4 linked regions of the Arabidopsis thaliana genome follow. The protein of the gene in region 2 purifies or fractionates together with the protein of the main gene of each other region. This does not show direct contact. Each region holds a gene or a part of one and is shown on either strand. Other genes may lie near its edges.

Evidence for each region.
Region 1: the proteins of AT1G29965 (region 2) and AT1G26880 fractionate together in Arabidopsis thaliana (co-fractionation; one large-scale study listed by BioGRID). This does not show direct contact.
Region 3: the proteins of AT1G29965 (region 2) and AT2G32220 fractionate together in Arabidopsis thaliana (co-fractionation; one large-scale study listed by BioGRID). This does not show direct contact.
Region 4: the proteins of AT1G29965 (region 2) and RPL34 fractionate together in Arabidopsis thaliana (co-fractionation; one large-scale study listed by BioGRID). This does not show direct contact.

What each region holds. Positions count from the first base shown.
Region 1 is NC_003070.9:9,314,060-9,319,448, forward strand, and holds AT1G26880 (Ribosomal protein L34e superfamily protein), read right to left. Parts: upstream 2,822-5,389; 5' UTR 2,623-2,821; coding exon 2,544-2,622; intron 2,421-2,543; coding exon 2,341-2,420; intron 2,103-2,340; exon of another isoform or gene 1,956-2,102; intron 1,871-1,955; coding exon 1,761-1,870; coding exon of another isoform or gene 1,739-1,760; exon of another isoform or gene 1,675-1,738; coding exon 1,581-1,674; 3' UTR 1,246-1,580; downstream 1-1,245. Other genes in the region: FEZ (NAC (No Apical Meristem) domain transcriptional regulator superfamily protein), read left to right, coding at 160-924; AT1G26890 (FBD, F-box and Leucine Rich Repeat domains containing protein), read left to right, coding at 3,530-4,318, 4,385-4,594, 4,673-4,810, 4,897-5,019.
Region 2 is NC_003070.9:10,496,968-10,501,599, reverse strand, and holds AT1G29965 (Ribosomal protein L18ae/LX family protein), read left to right. Parts: upstream 1-2,137; 5' UTR 2,138-2,226; coding exon 2,227-2,241; intron 2,242-2,355; coding exon 2,356-2,471; intron 2,472-2,566; coding exon 2,567-2,630; intron 2,631-2,800; coding exon 2,801-3,142; 3' UTR 3,143-3,290; downstream 3,291-4,632. Other genes in the region: RPL18AA (60S ribosomal protein L18A-1), read left to right, coding at 289-463, 546-596, 706-781, 1,366-1,480, 2,356-2,471, 2,567-2,630, 2,801-3,142; AGL64 (AGAMOUS-like 64), read right to left, coding at 4,313-4,632.
Region 3 is NC_003071.7:13,676,184-13,680,430, reverse strand, and holds AT2G32220 (Ribosomal L27e protein family), read right to left. Parts: upstream 1,522-4,247; 5' UTR 1,487-1,521; coding exon 1,079-1,486; 3' UTR 908-1,078; downstream 1-907. Other genes in the region: PRORP1 (proteinaceous RNase P 1), read left to right, coding at 92-273, 373-493, 568-639, 725-823; AT2G32210 (cysteine-rich/transmembrane domain A-like protein), read right to left, coding at 1,877-1,922, 2,038-2,176, 2,324-2,354; AT2G32200 (cysteine-rich/transmembrane domain A-like protein), read right to left, coding at 3,392-3,440, 3,571-3,718, 3,847-3,979.
Region 4 is NC_003070.9:26,187,030-26,192,350, forward strand, and holds RPL34 (ribosomal protein L34), read left to right. Parts: upstream 1-2,745; 5' UTR 2,746-2,870; coding exon 2,871-2,949; intron 2,950-3,047; coding exon 3,048-3,127; intron 3,128-3,267; exon of another isoform or gene 3,268-3,405; intron 3,406-3,573; exon of another isoform or gene 3,574-3,656; intron 3,657-3,767; coding exon 3,768-3,877; intron 3,878-3,961; coding exon 3,962-4,052; 3' UTR 4,053-4,375; downstream 4,376-5,321. Other genes in the region: AT1G69610 (zinc finger FYVE domain protein, putative (DUF1666)), read left to right, coding at 1-79, 164-1,029, 1,259-1,660, 1,741-1,967, 2,060-2,320; AT1G69630 (F-box/RNI-like superfamily protein), read right to left, coding at 4,611-4,883, 4,984-5,124, 5,204-5,321.

The sequences.
Region 1 (5,389 bases), 1.2 Mb from region 2:
CTTTTAATAAGTATGTTTATTCAAACAATTTCTCAAAAGTAAAATATAAAATAATTAAATAAACAAAGTGCAAATATTATTTTGAAATTAGTGGACTTCTATTTTCTATAAATTAAACTCATTTGTTATTAACATTTTGAATGATATGGACCACTGCAGGATTCATGGGCTATATGCAGAATCTTCAAAAAGACCAACACAACGACCCTAAGAGCTCTCTCTCACTCTTTTGTTTCCTCGTTACCACCAGAAACAAGCACCGACACAATGTCTAACCAAAAGCAATCAAACACATACCATTTTTCTTCAGACAAGATCCTCAAACCTAGCTCTCACTTCCAGTTTCACCATGAGAATATGAACACTCCCAAAACTAGTAATAGTACAACTCCATCCGTTCCCACTATAAGTCCCTTCTCTTACTTGGATTTCACTTCATACGACAAACCCACCAACGTTTTCAATCCGGTTTCATGTTTAGACCAACAATACCTCACAAATCTCTTTCTTGCCACACAAGAAACACAACCTCAGTTTCCCAGGCTCCCCTCGTCAAATGAAATCCCATCGTTTCTGCTAAACACGTCTTCAGATTCGACCTTCTTGGGAGAATTCACGAGCCATATCGACCTCAGCGCAGTGTTGGCCCAAGAGCAATGTCCCCCGCTTGTAAGCCTACCACAGGAGTATCAAGAGACGGGATTCGAAGGAAATGGTATAATGAAGAACATGCGTGGTTCCAATGAAGATCATCTTGGTGATCATTGCGACACACTTCGGTTTGATGATTTCACTTCAACAATTAATGAGAACCATCGTCATCATCAAGACCTGAAACAGAACATGACATTGCTGGAGAGTTATTATTCTTCTTTATCGTCCATCAATAGCGATTTGCCAGCTTGTTTCTCCAGTACAACCTGATGTATGTGGATAGATTTTCCCATCTCTGCCTTCTTGGCTTGCTTTTTTCAAGCTAGGGTATTTCCTCTTTGTAGGCTTTCTCTTTCACTAAATTAAATCGTTTATTAATTATGCTTCCTTGAGTTTTTATTTTTCACAAGCAACTTTGCTTTAATGAAGAAGGCATGAGGTAAGTCAAGATGAACAAGAGAAAAACTGAATCGAGTTTTACTATATTCAAAATAAAGACCAGTAAGTATATTATTTCTGGAGCTGACTTCATTAATCGCATACGAGACTGTCGTTGTAGAATTCCCAAAAATTGAAGCATAGTTAAGATTTAAGACTCAAAATTGCTATTCCATAGTTGTGTCATGACGCTGAGAACATTAAAGTGCAAGCTTGATTTAGCCTCCGAGAGATTCAGAAATATTATATTAACCAAGAAGGTAATCACAACAGCTTATGTGATATGCATCAACAATAGAACATTAAAGATGAATTCAACAATTCCAAAACTGAAGAGAAGAGAATTGTCGACAAAGTTAAGAACTGATAACAGAATACAAAGCTTAAAAATTGGTCGAGTAACATAGATGTCCTCACATGACTGCACCAAGTCCTATCACTTGAACATAGCCATAATTCCAAAACAGAGAAGAATAAAACATAAAAGCTTAAGCCTTGGGGGCTACTTTCTCCTTAGCCTTTTGGAGTTTCAACACTTTCTTCACAATCTTTTGCTCTTCGACAAGGAATGCCCGAATGATCCTGTCGGAATCCAAAAACAACATTACGTTAAAGAACACCAAATTTATTGTAATAGAAAGATGACTCAAGTAAGATGGACAACAAACCTTTCCCTGACTGCAGAACCAGACAAGACTCCACCGTATGCTCGGTTTACAGTCCTCCTGTTTCTTGATAATCTTGACCTCTTGTACTCAGAGGGCCTCAAGTGAGGGATCTGAATAAACAAACAAAGTTATTCACATAATGCAAAAGGAATATGCCATTGCATAATCAAACATATATAGTTGGGAATAAACTGAAAATTTATGCCAAAGGTGGATAGCAAATCCTTATGTAATACAAGGAACAACTTGAAAGACAAAGTGGCACCGACAATTTAGCTTATGATTTATGTTATGTACTGATGTGGGATTTATCTAATCAGCACAAGACCGTCAATAAGCACAATACTATTAACTAAGTAACATGGTTTCTTGAAATAAGAAGACATGCCCATTAAAAATGAGACTGATCAATACTCAAAACATTCTAAAACACTCAATCTGATTGATTTGGTTATACATAGCCATCAAATTCCTAAAAAATTCAAACTCTTAACTCTATCTAGACCTCAAATCAAGACTCTAGATACAAGAACCATGTAAACCAAATCACACGAAGCCAAATCGAAATCAGAAGACTTACTCCTTGAATACGCTTGCCAGTAACAGGACATTTGGGGCCACTAGCTCTCTTCTTTGTGGTTTGATACACCAATTTACCTCCTGAAATCAACAATCCCAACACACATTACACTATGAAGAACAGATCGGTGATTAGAGAATTATGAGACTAAAGCAGAGGAGATTGAAGATATCAAGGAAGAAGAAGAAGAAGAAGAAAGGGACCTGGAGTCTTGACGATACGGTGCTGGTTCGATTTGGTGGCGTAGCTGTGTCGCGACCGGTAAACAAGACGCTGCACCATTTTCGCCTCCTTTTCTCTTTTAGGGTTTTCGTTTGGAACGAAGAATATAAGGGTGAGACTCCAAACCTAAACTAAGACTACAACTATATGGGCCTTTTCTCATTTTGGTCTTTAATTATGCTCCAGTTAAAGGCCCATGTACAAATAATTAAAAAAAATTCAACTTGTAAAAACCAATTCTATTATTAGCTGCAATTAGAATAAGTATCGTTTGTATGTTGTAGTGAACAGAAACTAGAAACATTATTACCAATTTTTATTTTGATTTTTTAAGAAATCATAGATGCATTAAATTATACGTAGAACTTTAAAAAGATTAATTAGTATTATAATCCGTTTAGTCAAAACACATTCAATTTATTTTATCAAATAGTGTAACAACAAAAAATTTAAATTCATGGCACGTAAAAACATAATCGATACATTTACAAGGGCGTGGTGCAAGCAATTAGAGCAAGCCAAGTAGAGAAATTAATCAAGGTTGGCGGCAAAATTGGGAATTGGAAAATAAATTCATCCAAAATAACAAATGGAAATATAAGGACCAGGCTAGAAAATTTGGATTTTCAACAATTTTGTTTGGTTTGATGATTAGATTTTTAAGGGAAAAAACTAACAATTATGTAAGAATGAGAATCGATTGATATATTTTATGTGTGTCTATATTGCAGTTTTACTTTAAAAATTGGGCAACTTTAATTTAGTTTCTTTTTTTATATGCATTAATAATATATATATATATATATATATATATTTTTTTTTTTTTTTCTTTGAACAAATAATAAATATTTGTATAATAATTGTTTTTTTTTGAAAAAAAGCTTTATAATATAGACTCACTTTTGTGTCACAGCCAGCGACGAGAAAAAAGTTCCATTGGCGTCTAGCTAGGTATCCGGTATCCCACATGGCCACATCTATGGGTTGCTTAAGTTGTTGGTCTTTTTTTTGGGATATTATACACGACGATGAGCATATATCAACTGTTCCAGAAACCGAAAGTTGTCAGATAAACGAAACTAGAATCTGTGCTTTTCCTAACGATTTGCTCTTGCAGATCTTGCATCACGTCCCAACAAAAGAGGCAGTCGCCACTTCAATCTTGTCTAAACGATGGCGTTATGTCTGGCCGATGGTGCCTAGACTCGAATTCAAAGAAGATGACAGCGAGAGCGTGGGGTGGTTTATTGAAAAGTCATTGCAACTCCATAAGGCACCGAAACTAGATAGTTTGGTTGTGGAACTCGGTCCACATTGTCCTGTTGACGTAGATGTCGGAAAGTGGGTTGAGAACGTAGTTAATAGAGGTGTGAAAGAGTTAGATTTCAATCTCCTCTGGACCGCAGAACCCACAGGATTTCCTAAGTGCCTTTACACATGCAACACGCTCGTTGATTTAAGTCTATCCAACAAGATTCTAGTGAACGTTTCTTCCCCTGTTCGCCTACCATCTCTCTTAACTCTGAGTCTTCGCTTTGTGGTGTACAAAGACGAAGAATCTCTTGTTAGCCTTTTATCAAGCTCCCCTGTTCTCAACTGCCTGAAGGTGGATCGACATAAGGATGACAACTTGACAAAATTTACCGTGAAAGTATCTACCTTGAAACAGTTACATTATAATACTACTCGGCGGAAGGATGGGGTAGAGGATGAGGAAGACGTGGTAGAGGAAAATGAGGTAGAGGATGATGATGATGTAGATGAGGTAGAGGATGATGAGGAAGGTGTGGTTGAGGAAGTTGACGTAGGTGAGGTAGAGGAGGATGATGATGATGATCTCAATAGATCCTTGGTAATAGATTCCCCTGCATTAGAAATTTTACGCTTACGTAACGTTTTGGACTATTGCTTGATAGAGAATATTTCTTGCCTTCATATAGCAAAACTCGGCTATGTTCATAACCCCGATCACAAGTTTCTGAGATCTCTTTCTTCTGTCATACATATGTACTTGTATTTGACCAAGCCAATGGTACCGATTACATATCTCCGATCCTCTTCTTTTCCTTGTTGCTTAGCCAACTAATGTTATATTTTTTTTTAATCACAGGTTGCGTGGTGTAACACCATCAAGTTCTCTCGGCTCTTGGAGTTTTATTTTGTTCCAAGCAATTTGGTAGATTGGTTGGAACCACTTATGTATTTGCTTCAAAATTCTCCTAAACTACAAATTCTTACGATTGACACTGTAAGTATACCATCCTCCTCCCCTTAAACACAAGTGCATCTAGTTTATAGATGAACTTAACATTATAGCAAATGTATTGATATCAGGATTCTACGTGTCTCCCACCTTCATGGAACCAGCCGAGTTCTTCTACTATTCCCGAATGCTTGTTGTCTCATTTACAGATCTTTAGGTGGGGAGGCTATGGAGGAAGAGAAGATGAGAAATAACTAATGACATACATTCTCGCTAACTCAAAGTGTTTAAAGAGAGTGGCGATCTTTCTCTTAGCAACCTGCAATCTTGAAGAGACACAAATGGAGTTAGAATCTATGCCTAGGAACTCAACATCATCTCAACTTCTAACCTCCTCCCATAAAATGAATATGTTTAACTAGGTACGCTATCATTTCATGATTTCATTCACTTGAACTATTAGGTTATGAGTTCAACCAATAGAGTTTCATATATATTCTTTCTTTCTTTTTTAACAGCATCATGACAACAATTGAGTAGCCACATACTGACTGTCTAAGATTATGATCCATCATGCCCAAAGCCAGCAACAACCATCATGTTATTAACAATTGAGTGAGCTTG
Region 2 (4,632 bases):
TTTGCTACGGTCATATTAAAGTATCATCAAGCCCATTTTGATAAAAATATGGAAATTGGGGCGACCCGGAATTTAAATTGGATAGTATCCGGGTCAGCTATCCCGTGTCTTTTGACTCCTTCCCTCATCGTCGTCTCTTTCTTCGCCAAGTCTCTTTTCTCCTCGTCTCTGCCTAGCCGATAAATTCGCCGTTCTCCATCGGTAAACGCAGCTGAGGAGCTAGATAATTCTCTGATATCTGCGTTACGCCGGTGTGGAAGCAAAATTTAGGTTAATCGGATCTCAATTATGGACGAAGAGGCAGCAAAACCTAGAGACTCCACCGTGAATCAGCAACATCAATACTATTACGGAACGTTTCAAGGCGTTGCGAATTTTCCTACTCCTACTCCACCACCGCAATTTATGCAACCACAGCATCCGATTACTACGTTTCCTGGACATGCTTACCAAAATCTCCAAGGTTTTAAAATCTCTCTATCCCTCTTGTTAATTTTGGATAATTACTTTGTGATTTGTGATTATTTGGTGATTGGAATTGTTAGGTCATGGTGGTGGTGTGAATTATGCTCAAGGATTCCCAGTTGTTGTTCCTGGTAATCATTTCTGGAAAAATCTTCTTTCTTTTCTATATCAATTTGATCAGATACTGAGGGTAGATTTTTGTTGATGTGAGAGTAATGATTCTGGTTATTGTTGTTTTAGATTATACAGTGGTTGAGGTGAGACCAATGATAGAGCATGAACTTCCTTGTTGTGGCTTGGGCATGGGCTGGTTTCTGTAAGTTCCTTGTTATACATTGTCTCGCAATACGAATTCCCATTCTCTGTGTTTTGAATTGCCAAATGCAATTGATTTCTGGTTGTTTTATTCCATGTATAAGATCAAAATTACAGAAGCTTAGGTTTATGGTAGTTGGAAACTCGGTTTATGATCTTTAGGTTTTAGAATGCTATCATAACCAATTTCTTTGATAGTATTAAGTGACAGTTCGTTGTGGAACTAGCTCTAGATTCTGTAACAGAGTCTTCTTTCCTGGAATCTCTTTGTTTCGAGTGAGATTCTAGATGAACTGATTGCCTCTTGGAATCAATATAAAAAGTCTGTGTAAAACCTTCTTGAGGCTTGTCTCTATCCACTAATGTTTAGATTTACAAGAGCATCAAGATTAGCTAATATTCGATAAATGGATTTGTTGGTCATTCAATCTGGATATACTTTGATGAACTCCCTGACACGGAGATACAAGTGCAATCCGCCTTATATGATTCTGTCGTTTAACGAGAGAAAGCTGAAAGCATACATCTTGTGACTTGAAACTCGTTCCAGTTGCTAATTAAAGTTTTTGTTGTCTATGGTCCCAGGTTTATCATGGGCTTCTTGTTCGGTGGGATCCCTTGGTACCTCGGTGCTTTTATTGTTCTAGTCACATCTGTTGATCACCGCGAGAAAGCTGGTTACGTTGCCTGTTCAATCGCAGTGAGTTCCTCTCTCTCATTACATTGTCGTAGAACAACGGCATTGGTCACTCATCTATATTCATCATTGTCTCTCATAATTTCTTTTTCTTTTTATGAATTCTTCCAGTCCGTTGTCTATTTGATTGCCGTCATGCTCGGGATGACTGGGGATATTAACATCTGGTGAAACTACTCCCCAGCCAAAACCAAACTCAATCTTGTATATATATCTACATATATACTCGAAAACGTAGATATATATCAATATCATTTACACCAGTTATTGCTGATTTTAGTGAGTTACAGAAGGGAAATATTTGTAACTTTGTGTTGAATTTTATATCATAACTAAATATTGTATATATGTGGTTGATTCCCTTGGTGGCATATCTATCTATATGTAAAATATTTTGTGATTTGTTTTGACCATTGCTACACAAAAAGTTCCCCAAAAGCTAAATACGTTTTCATGTCTTTCTTTGTGCTTTTCTTCTTCTACTCAACACACTTTATTATTTATAGATCATAGCGAAAAAAAATCCGAATTCAGTAAAATTGATGGTTGATAAAAATCTGTAGAGAATTATAGGCAGTGGGTTGTAAATTTAAAAGGCCCAATGGGCTTTAGCCTGTAGGATCTAGTATTAAATTTTTGAGATTAGGGTTTAAAATTTTCATTCTTTTTAGCTAGGTCATATATAAAAAAAAGCCGCAAGAATAGAGCTTGCGATTATCGGAGGATTCAATCATCGGCGGAGGACGAAAATGAGTGTTATCAGGGTAACATCTCGTTAACTCTAGCCGGAGCTTTAGCTTCTCCTCCTTCCAATTTAGCGCATTGATGTTTCCCGTTTTCTAATTTCGACAAATCTGATCGGAATTTTGTAATTGCAGCTGCACCAGTACCAAGTCGTAGGACGAGCTCTCCCGACGGAGAAAGATGAGCAACCAAAGATTTACAGGATGAAGCTATGGGCAACGAACGAGGTTCTTGCCAAATCCAAGTTCTGGTTAGTTTAATTTTATCATAAATTCTCACCAATTTCATGATGTTTGAATCGTTGTGATATTGAATCGTTTCTTCATGTATGTGTTTTGAATTCAGGTACTACTTAAGGAGGCAAAAGAAGGTGAAGAAGAGTAATGGACAGATGCTAGCCATCAACGAGGTACTTGCTGTAGGATCTGAATTTGATTTGTTCTCGGTAGTAGTCTCTCAGAATTATGGAACATTTTTAGATATTTGGTCTTAACTTGATTGTGTAAAGTGTTTGTGATTCTGTAAAATATTTTGTCGTTCGTGTTGCTTGATTCTTAAAATGACTAATTGGTGTGACAGATCTTTGAGAAGAACCCAACAACGATCAAGAATTTTGGAATCTGGTTGAGATACCAGAGCCGTACAGGTTACCATAACATGTACAAAGAGTACCGTGACACTACTTTGAATGGAGCAGTGGAGCAAATGTACACTGAGATGGCGTCAAGACACAGAGTAAGGTTCCCTTGCATTCAGATTATTAAGACAGCAACAGTCCCAGCCTCTCTCTGCAAGAGGGAAAGCACGAAGCAGTTTCACAACAGCAAGATCAAGTTCCCGTTGGTCTTCAGGAAGGTTAGACCTCCCACCAGAAAGCTCAAGACTACCTTCAAGGCCAACAAGCCTAACTTGTTTATGTAGAACTAGAAGCTCTCTCATTTTTCTATCATAAATTCATAAGGTAATTGACTTTTCATACTTGTTGAGGGATCGAAGTTGCTGGTTTTGGCTTTTTAAAATTTTGTGGGTAGAATCTTGAAGTTTTATGATTCATTCTCTTGGTTTCGATTCTGGCTTTTCTTGTTCATTTTTATTAGTTAGGTTTCCCAATTGTCTGCGTTGATCCCCGTTCTAAAATTTGTTGGACATTGTAGATGTTTTCTTAATCCATGAATACGGTACGATTAGAGCTTAAACTAATATCCTCTTAAAAGAATGTAATTAGAATCTACCATGAAATGAACGAACAACGTGAAGAAGACTAGAGCTTTGGTTTAGACGACTCATATGAGACTACTAGCTCATTAGGACCAAACCCGGACGAACCAATCTAATCGGCTAAAGTGAGTGAACAATCTTTGGATGACTTTATCCCTCTTCTAAACAAAATCAGAAGACAGGCTAAAAAATTACAAAACAACTAAACCTATATGGGCCAAAAGCATATGGGCTTATTTAATACTTGTAGCAGCATTTTTCACACAGTTTAATATGTTACAAAATCTTTCATGACTTATCTTTCATAAAAAAGGGTGAACGACCTGTGTCCCCGTAGAAAGTTTCATATACGCTCATAATTCTACAGAATCCAGACTTCGACTCTAGTCCACACCAAATGAAAGTTCCAAACCTCAGTTCCACGGGTACAATAAACCAACGATAAACCACAAAATTCAAAATTTTGTGGACCGAGGATTTGAACTTTTGATTTAGGGGAACTGAGGTTTGGAACTTTCATTTGGTGTAGATTGGAGTCGAGGTCCGAATTCTGTGGAGTTGTGAGCGTATATGAAACTTCTCATGGGGACACAGGTCGTTCACCTGATAAAAAAAAATAAAAAATTGAAGAGTATTATAGTACTACATAATACTTTTTTCTTTCTGTTTTGATAAGATTTTGTTAAACTCAAAGATGACATCTATTCAAACAAAATATTTCGGTTTCATTAACCCATGACTGGATGTTGTAGAAAATAATAACAATTCATAATGTATAAAAAACAAAAGACAAAAAAAAAACATAATTCTTAAGACTCATAATTAACTAGTGATGATCACAAATGATCTACTAATTAAAATCTTGATTATGGATCATTTGTTATTATTCTCATCATGTCCTCTCTTGATCCTTGAAGCAGCTTCCTCGCACAGTTTCTCATAGAGCTCTTGATGCTTCTCCATCATCTTCTTCACCTCTTCGCGATCCTTCACGTCATTTGGATCCACTTTCCACCACGCATCCTCATTCATGGGCATCATCTCCGCCAATGCAGCCGTCTTCTTTAATTTGACTTCTTCCACCGTTATCTCCTCCACCAATCTATTGTATACTTTGCAAAGCTCTTGAATCTTCGCTTGCTGATGAGCATTCATGACCGATCGTTGCAACGATGATGAAGAAGACGACGAGG
Region 3 (4,247 bases), on a different chromosome or scaffold from region 2:
GTGGTTTTGACTCTTTCTCATTCTAATGCCAATCTCAAGAACCATTGTTTGACTACTTTATCTAATGCGACTCTTTATCTCTCCCCACTAGCTTAACAACACTGTCCAAAGATGCCAACAAATAAGCCCGTCGAAAAGGTTACCACTTGTGATCCTGCACAAGAGTCGTGTAAATGGAGGTCCAGCTACATACCCTAAAAACAGAGCCTTGCTAGAGAAATGGAAAAACGCTGGTGCTCTCTATGCTACCCCTCCTGGCTCAAACGATGATTGGTATTTGCATTTGCCTTTTTTTCTGGGTCTATGAATTACATTGACCATGAATAATCCAAAAAAGACAACCATTTCTTATGTGAAATCAAATTGTTCTAGGTATTGGCTTTACGCTGCGGTAAGTTGCAAATGTTTGTTAGTAACAAACGATGAGATGAGAGACCATCTCTTCCAGTTACTTGGAAATAGTTTCTTCCCAAGGTGGAAAGAGAAGCATCAGGTAACATATAATATAAGAGTCTATGTAATGTATATACATAAGCTTTTGATTGATACTGGATTCAATGTTTGCAGGTTCGGATCTCTGTCACTAGAGAAGATGGACTCAAACTTAATATGCCACCTCCATACTCCATTGTTATACAGGTCAACACTCACATTTCTATGTCCATCTCAATGTTTTCGTATGCATTTTGCATTAATGATGATGATTGATTGATGAATGATGCAGGAGTCTGAAGATGGAACCTGGCATGTACCAATGAGCGTAGAAGATGATCTCCAAACATCAAGGCAATGGTTATGCGCAAAAAGATCCAAAACACCTTGAATTTTTTTAATCCTTGTTGTATCATCTGACATTGATTCTTCATTTCTTAATAAATTTGTGTTTCATTAACCACAAGATTGAAAGAAATGTCTCACAATGAAGAGTTACTAGAAAGATTAAAACTTTAACCATCAAAATTGAATATATATTACTGAAATTTAGAACAAAACATAACCTTGAGCTAAACCAGAAGCAAAAACAATTCATGGTAGATAAAAATTGAAACTTTAAAACTAAAATTAAAAACTGTAGAATTCAAAACCTAAGCTTGGTGAAGAACCATCTGTTCTTGCCAGTCTTAAACCTCTCTTCAAACTTCGCCTTCGCTTCCTTAAGAGCCGTCACTTTCTTATCCTTGGACGAGATCGCGTCGGCGGAGACAACGTTCTTCAGATCCAAATCAAGAGTGTAGCGCGTAGGCATCACGTGCTGGTAATTGATGACCTTGAAGAAGCATTTCACGCGCGATTTCTTAGCCGTCTTCTTTGCCGAATCCTTGCGAATGACTTTGCTTGGGTACTTCTTCAATCCGGCGACGAGACAGTGACCGTACTTCTTCTCAACGGTACCGTCATCGAAGGATTTCACGATCACCGCCTTTTTACCGGTGTATCGTCCTTGTAAAAGGATCACGGCTTTTCCTGGCTTCATACATTTCACCATTGTCACTCTCTTCTCTGTCTTTCTCTCGGCGCTTCCTTGGATTCTAGGGCTTTATCGGGAGATATTTATACGCATCGATTTGTTCATTATTTGCATTCTAACCCCAAGAGTTTTAATTGTTTATAACTTTGGCTTATATAGTGTTATTAAATTGATTTTAAGTCCACGTTGACTAACCGGTAATAAAGTCAAAAATGTGAATCTAGCGTGGTTTAGAAGATGTCTAAGAGAAAACAAACGATATATTAAGAATTTATAAAATTACACAATGCAAAAGAAAGAGTGATATAGAAATGAATTAACAAATAGAAGTACCAAATGTCATAAACCTAGTCGAATCATTTTGGTAAAGCAAAATACAAAGATAATCAAAATAAACCATCTAAGTCTTCAGAAGCATGCGTCGAGGACACAACAACAACACATGGCCGCAAGACTGCATTCAAAAAATGAAAGAAAACAAATTAATCAATGCAACACACGATAACCGAACCGGTTTGATAGTTAACCAAACGTGCATGCCTGGTTTATACTAGAAAAAGAAGACTAACCAGCCTTTTAAGAATCCATCACCCTTGGACTTTGTCTCCACCGTTGCCACCGTGGCATGACTTGTGTCGTTCGTTGGGTAACCTAGCGGTGGCGGTGCCACGTAAGGGCCGGTAGACACTGGCGGCGTAGGATAAGCTCCTATAAGTTATTCATATTTCACATTAGTCTTATTACCATTTAAAAAAGTACTTACTACTATGAAACTGCAAATATGATTATAACCATGAGAATATTGACTAAACATATGGTCTGATGCTAAATTAGTACGAAGAAAAGAATACAAACCTGAAGATTGGTTTTGGCTGTATTGACTCATCTTGGAACAGATAGATTGTGATTTCTCTTTGAAAACAAGTTAGAAGAAAGTAGTAACAAATGTAGAGAGGTGTATGATTATGAAATGAATTGAAATATGCAAATGAAGATAGAGATATATATATAGAGAGGTAAGGGAAGTAAACGAAGGTCGGTTTAGTAAAACCGCGTGAGGTCAAAAAAAAAAAACGCGTGAGGTCAGATTGCATTAACTGCTAAGTCTCCAGAAATTTATTCTCTTGAAGAATAACAATGTGTTGATTTTTTCTCTTAATAAATATCAACAAAAAGGTAAGATGCTATCGATTTGGTCTTTTAATTCGTTGTTCTCTATTTACAAAAGTATACGAATTAGAGAACCTTATATATAGAATATGTAAAATGATGATAAATGCAGCATGGTTTTATATTTTTCTTGATTTAGTAATAATAAAGAGTTTTTTTATTCTTTCTCAAAGCAAAAAGTGTACTTCTTTCTCCATGGGAATATTTACATGTTAAGCAAAAGAGAGAACAATAATTAACGCTTATATTAACTAATAAAAACTAACAAAAGTAGATCAGAATATATATGTTATTAGAAGTTATGTTTTACACAAACGGATCTTAGATAATAGTTTGAACCATAATAATTTTACTTGAATCGCTTTATCTCGTCCAAAGTGCGTGTTGTTATTAGAGTAAAACTTTATTTTCGAGAGAGCACATGAAAGTTTTCTTATGAAGAAGAATAATTGCTGGTTTCAAATTAGGTGGGAATATAAACGCAAAATGTGATTTAATTTAGCGTATCTAAATCTAATTCCAGAAATTTAAATGAACAACAATTGACAGTTTTGGGCACAAAGTAGAATAAATTTTACTATTACAAACTAAGTTGTAATAAAATAAAAAAAGTAGTAATAAATAATTAAATCAACAAATAGGAGGTCCAAATGTTATAAGCTAATCGAATCCCAAAAACTACTTGCAAAATACAATGAAAAATATTTGCATGAAGTGTCAAATTTAATAAACAATCGACTGCTTCCTCCGAACTCAGAAAATGCATGCGTCGAGGACGCAACAGGCCAACATGGTCGCAAGACTGCATTTAACAAAAAAAAAAACAATAACTTATCAAACGTGCGGTCCCGGTTACGTTGAGCCACAATAACAAATTGTCCTAAAATTTTCCAAAGGATTGGAAAAAAAGAAAAGAAAAAAGAGAGACTAACCAGCCTTTCAAGAATCCATCAGCAGCTTCACCTTTAGACTTTGTCTCGACAGGAGCCACCGTAGCATGAGTCGTGTCGTTCGTTGGGTAACCGAGCGGTGGCGGTGCCACGTATGGACCGGTAGACACTGGCGGCGTAGGATAAGCTCCTAATTATACATATTTGACATTAGTTTTGTTACCATAAAACTCTAGAAATATGATGTATGACGAGATTGATGAACGATGATACATGATCATGATGCTTAATTTGTAGGGACTCAAAAAACAAACAAACCTGCATATTGGTTTTGACTGTATTGGCTCATATTCGAACAGATTATGATTTTTCTTTGAAAATGTAGATGAAAATGGTATGTAGATGTGTATGATATATGGATTGATATTTGCAAACGAAGATATATAGTCATGTAAGGGAAGAACCAAAGAAGGTCGGTTTTAGTAGAACCGCGTGAGCGCAGATAACAGTCATTGTTAGTCTCCAGAAATTTATTATTCCAACGACTAAAGAAAACGGCAAAGAACCATTATTTTTAAATGTTATAAGAATAACTAGATGATGCCAGTGGCGGACCCAGCCAAGAAATTTAGTAGGTGCAAAATGTAACTAGATGAGAATCGAACCTGCTATCTTCAGCATTTAGTAGGGGCAGTCTCTACCATTTTGCTACTTTAACT
Region 4 (5,321 bases), about 16 Mb from region 2:
GTGGTTTGAAACAGTTTGTGTACGGAAACACTTTCATTGTTCTCGATGCTTTCTGGGTTTCTTTCTCTAATCTCTTCAGGTAAACGTTTTTGCTTCTTCTTTATTATTCTTTGTTCTCTGTTTTTTTGAGTTCTTATTGGTTAATGGGTTTGTTTTTATTTAGAGTTAATCCAGACAAAGAGACAAGCTTGGTCTTGTTCGAGAAACAGAACACAAAAGATTCCTCTGTTTTTGGAGATCATCAAGATCAAAACCAAATTTGTGGAACACAAGACGATGATCAGATGGAAAGCTCTCTGGTTTCGATTAGCAAGAGATGCGAGTTTTATTCCGACAACAAAAGTATCGTTGGTTTTGTAGAAGAACCTAAAGCGTTTAGCTTTAAGTTTCATGAGTATTCTGCTATTACTGTTCAGGAGGAGGAGAAGAAGAAGATGGTGAGTTTCTCTGATGAAAAAACGAGTTCCATGGTTTTGGAGAAATCAGAATCAGATGGTTTTATGAAGGAACACGTGAAAGAAGAGATGTTGGTTTATGAGTTCATGAGTTGTGGTGTTTTAAAAGAGTCATTGGTTCACGAGAATCTTGTTGGTGGTGAAGACAACTTGTTTGATGATGATGATGGGTTTATAGAACTAAACCCAAGTTTACAGATTTCAAACTTTGCTTATGGAGAAGAAGAAGAAGAAGAGTTTATACACAGAGAAGAAGAGATGAAAATGGGCTTTGATGAACAAGAAGAGGTATATGATGAGTTTGATGATGGTTCAGATTCAGATGATGATGAGTTTGAGCATAGTGATGTGATTGAGAAGTTGAAAACAGAATTAAGGACTGCAAGGACAGGAGGATTGTGCACTATTCTTGAGGAATCAGAGACTCCATTACAAGAGCTGAAACCACTCAAGATTGAACCAAAACCAGATCAACACAAAGACAGAATTGCTGAAATTCACAAGGTTTACAAGAACTACGCGGTTAAAATGCGAAAACTCGATGTCATCGATTCTCAAACAATGCATTCCATCAGTAAGTCAATCTATTCTCAATTCAATTTTCAATCAATGTTCTTAGCAGACTATTACATCATTAGCAATGACGTATCTACAGAGTCTTAAATTTTTGTCTGATTCCAGCTTTTACTTTGATTGTGAGGACATATTGTTGAAGAATGTCTCTTTCCTTCTTAAATGTTTTCTCAACTACTCAAAAGTGTTAGTTGAGTATATAGTTAACATTTTTGGATTTGATTTAACAGGTTTGCTAAAGCTAAAAGATTCATCTAAACCTAGTAGAAACACTGATAAACCGCCTAAATCGTCTCTGCATCAGAATATATGGCCATTCAAGAAACATACGCTTGAATGTGACCCGAGTGAGAGACTTGTGAAAGAAGCAAGCAGAGACTTTGAGACTGTCTATGTAGGCCAAGTTTGTCTCTCGTGGGAGATGCTTCGATGGCAATACGACAAAGTCTTGGAATTTGATTCACAGGTTACTACTTATCAATACAACTTAGTAGCTGGAGAGTTTCAGTTATTCCAAGTTCTGCTTCAACGGTTTGTGGAGAATGAACCGTTTCAGAACTCCTCTAGAGTTGAGACTTACTTAAAGAACCGTCGCCATTTCCAGAATTTCCTTCAGATTCCACTTGTTAGAGGTAACAAAACATGTTTTCATTATTCTTTATAGTATATACTGAACCTTTCTTGCTAATACCATAATCTGCAAAGTTTTCAGATGACCGTTCTTCGAAGAAGAAATGTAGATATGAAGGAGAATTCGCGGTAAAGACTGAAATGTTGAGAGAGATTATCCGAGAGTCGATGAGTGTTTTCTGGGAGTTTCTTTGTGCAGACAAAGACGAGTTTACTTCAATGATGAAAGTTTCTCACCAAACTCAAGTCTCTCCACAGGATTCTTTAGACCTTGAGCTCTTGACAGATATCAGAACTCATCTCCAAAAGGTATTTAAAAACTTCAAATTCTTGCTCTCATTTTGTCAGATTACATCAATGTTTAACAATTCACTCAAGAACCTGTTCTTGGCCTAATGTAGAAAGAGAAGAAGCTAAAGGAAATACAAAGAAGCCAAAGCTGTATAGTGAAGAAGTTAAAGAAGAATGAATCAAAGAGTAGTATTGGTGTGAAGGATGAATTACTAATAGCTAAAATTGAACTGAGACTGGTTTCAAGAGTGATGTACATGTCGAAACTTACTACTGAGAAGTTACATTGGTGTCAGGAGAAACTTGAAAAGATCAGCTTCAACGGTCGGAAGATTCATATGGAACCATATTTCTCGTTGTTACCTTGTTGAGCCATCTCTGCGTATAGATTAGATCATAGATGTTGGAACAATATGGCTTCATCAGATCCAGGAAGATGTCTTTTTGTTGTTGTTCATATCTTCCTGAGAACAATAGTATATCTAATGAATGATATGTGGTAGCTTAGCGTTTTTCTTTCTCCTCTAATCACCACAACATCTGGAATCACCTCGAAGAACATTTTGAGAACTAGAAGTAAAGTTGATTAACATTTGGTACATGAACACAAATCTTCTTGAACGTTGTTGAACTAGTGATTACTGATTAATGAATAATTAAAGAAAAGACAAACGTTCGAAAGATGGGCCTTTGGGCCAAGTCATATTTGGATTATTATGTAAGCATTAACAAGCCCATAAAATGTCGTCCATTGATGATCATAAGTCAATATGTAATCTGAACCGTCCGATCTAGGGCTTTAGGTGTTGAAGTGAAAAAAGACCCTATATAAAGATAATATAGCTTATAAAGTCTCTTCTCTGCTCCGTCAAGCTGAGGAGGATAAAAACCCTAGGGTGAGTGAGACAGAGAGAAGCGAAAATGGTGCAGCGCCTTGTTTACCGATCACGACACAGTTACGCCACCAAATCCAACCAGCACAGGATCGTCAAAACTCCAGGTCTGTTCTGTTTCTTCAATCGCATATGCTGAAATTCACAAATCTGTATCCATGGATCTATAAGATTTGAAATGTATTGACGTATTGATGATTTGCAGGAGGTAAATTGACGTACCAGACCACTAAGAAGAGAGCTAGTGGACCTAAATGTCCCGTTACCGGCAAGCGTATTCAGGGTGTTAGTATTCTTCAGATTCATATTCTCTCCGATTTGAGTCTAAAGTTACATACTTTGTTTGATTTTGGATTGACCCATTTGATTGTTTTGAGGTTATTCTATTGATTGATGCAAATGTAGTAGTTTAGGTTTGGTTTGTTTGTGCTTATTGACGGTCTTGTGCTGGTTAGATGAATTCAACATCAGTAGATAACTTTATCATAAGCTAAATGTAGTGCCGCTTTGTCTTTTTCAAGTTTTCTCTGTGGAGTAAGCTTTAATCTTGGTGGCAGAAATAGGTAAATCATCTTGGAAACTTTTCACTAGGTTTAGATTTGTTTGTTTTGCCATCTTGATGGTAAATTGTATTAGTTTTAGATTCTGTATTGTATTGATTTCTTCTTGTGCTTATTGACGGTCTTGTGCTGGTTAAGATTAATCCACACCAGTACATAACTTTATCATAAGCTAAATTTAGTGCCGCCTTGTCTTTTCAAGTTTTCTCCTTTTGTATGTAAGGAATCACTTTTATACTTGGTGGCATAAATCTTCAAACATCTTGTAAATTGTTCATAGTTTGGTTTACAGTAATCTTAAAGTTGATGGAGTTGTTTCAGCCATTTTCCTTCAGCATCTAATTTATATCTCTTTGGTTGTTTAGATTCCTCACTTGAGGCCAACTGAGTACAAGAGGTCACGTTTATCAAGAAACAGGAGGACCGTGAACCGTGCTTATGGTGGGGTTTTGTCTGGTTCTGCTGTTAGGGAAAGGTTCGTTCTTGAGTTCAATTTTGTATTTGCTTTGTGCCTTTGTAACCAAAGACAAATCTTAATGGTTGTTCTTGTGTGTTACAGAATCATTCGTGCCTTCCTTGTGGAGGAGCAAAAGATTGTGAAGAAGGTTTTGAAGCTTCAGAAGGCAAAGGAAAAGGTTGCTCCCAAGTGATCTAGACCCTATTAGTTTTTATGTTTTATGGCTCTGTTCTAGCGATAGTACTGGTTGCAGAGAAAAACATTGTGTACTCATCAAAAAATTTAAGCTTTTTTGTATTGGTTTTGGATCTTTGGCTCTGTCTACAATTCGTTTCGGTTTTCGTTTCTTGTTCATGTTGAGTTCACATTTCACGTTTTCAATTCTTACCCCCGAAACTTCCTATTGGTTACAAATGATTTATACTCTTTTTTTCTCTTTTGAGCCTAAAACTTTAACTTCTGCAATATTTGTTACATGAGTGATTATCTATAATAGATGGTTGTGCAAATTTCTTTGGCCTCGTTTATTTTAACCCCCACCAAATTTAGTAGCGTTCTTTCTTAACATCTCCCAAAGCATATCTTTGCCACGATGGAGTGATACTGATTGATTTGTGCCAAAAACATGATTCGTTTACGAACTTAAGCACTTCAATATCATCACAAACTAAAAGAAAACAGAGAATTCGTATTAACTAAGTACTTAGAGACAACAACCTTGTACGTTTATTGGTGATGACTACGAGGATCATCAGAGAACGACAACTTTGGATGATGTAGAGAGTCTTGGAATGGCAAGGAGTTCTTTTAGGATGACAGAATCTTCTTTCTTCACGGAATCATCCAAGCATAGGGTCAGTTTCTTGAGGATGGTTGAATTCTCAAGTAAGTAACTCACTAGTTTCATCTCCATCGCCTCTCCTTTCAATGGCCTTTCTATCTTAACATACTCGAGAGATGATAGGAAACGCCTAGGTCCCGGCAAAATAATATTTTCTCCCTTCTCCTGATAACTAGCAGATTTCTGCATATACCGAGTGAAAGAAACACAAGTTCAAGATATGATAAACTTTCACCATTTTGCATCTTAATAAGAATTTCATGGTTCAATAGACAATACTCACCACGACAAGAGTTTTTAGATTCGGGCAGCTCTCAAGAAAGATTGGCAACATTTCCCACATGTAGCCGTAAAACTCAACACACAAGACAGATAGGTTACGGAATAAGGGTAGTCGTTCACATCTTGAGAAATCATAGATAACCTGTAAGGAAAAAAAAAAGTATCAGGAAAGAATAAAGTTACACATTCAATCAAATAGCAAATTCAACATTGTAGTGTACCTCAAGAGTACTCGAAAAAATGATCATATCTTTAATAGTAGAGATGCCGAGGAGAAAATTACGTATCATAGTTCTCTTTGGTAGATCATCTGGATTAAACTTATTCACGGAACTCAAG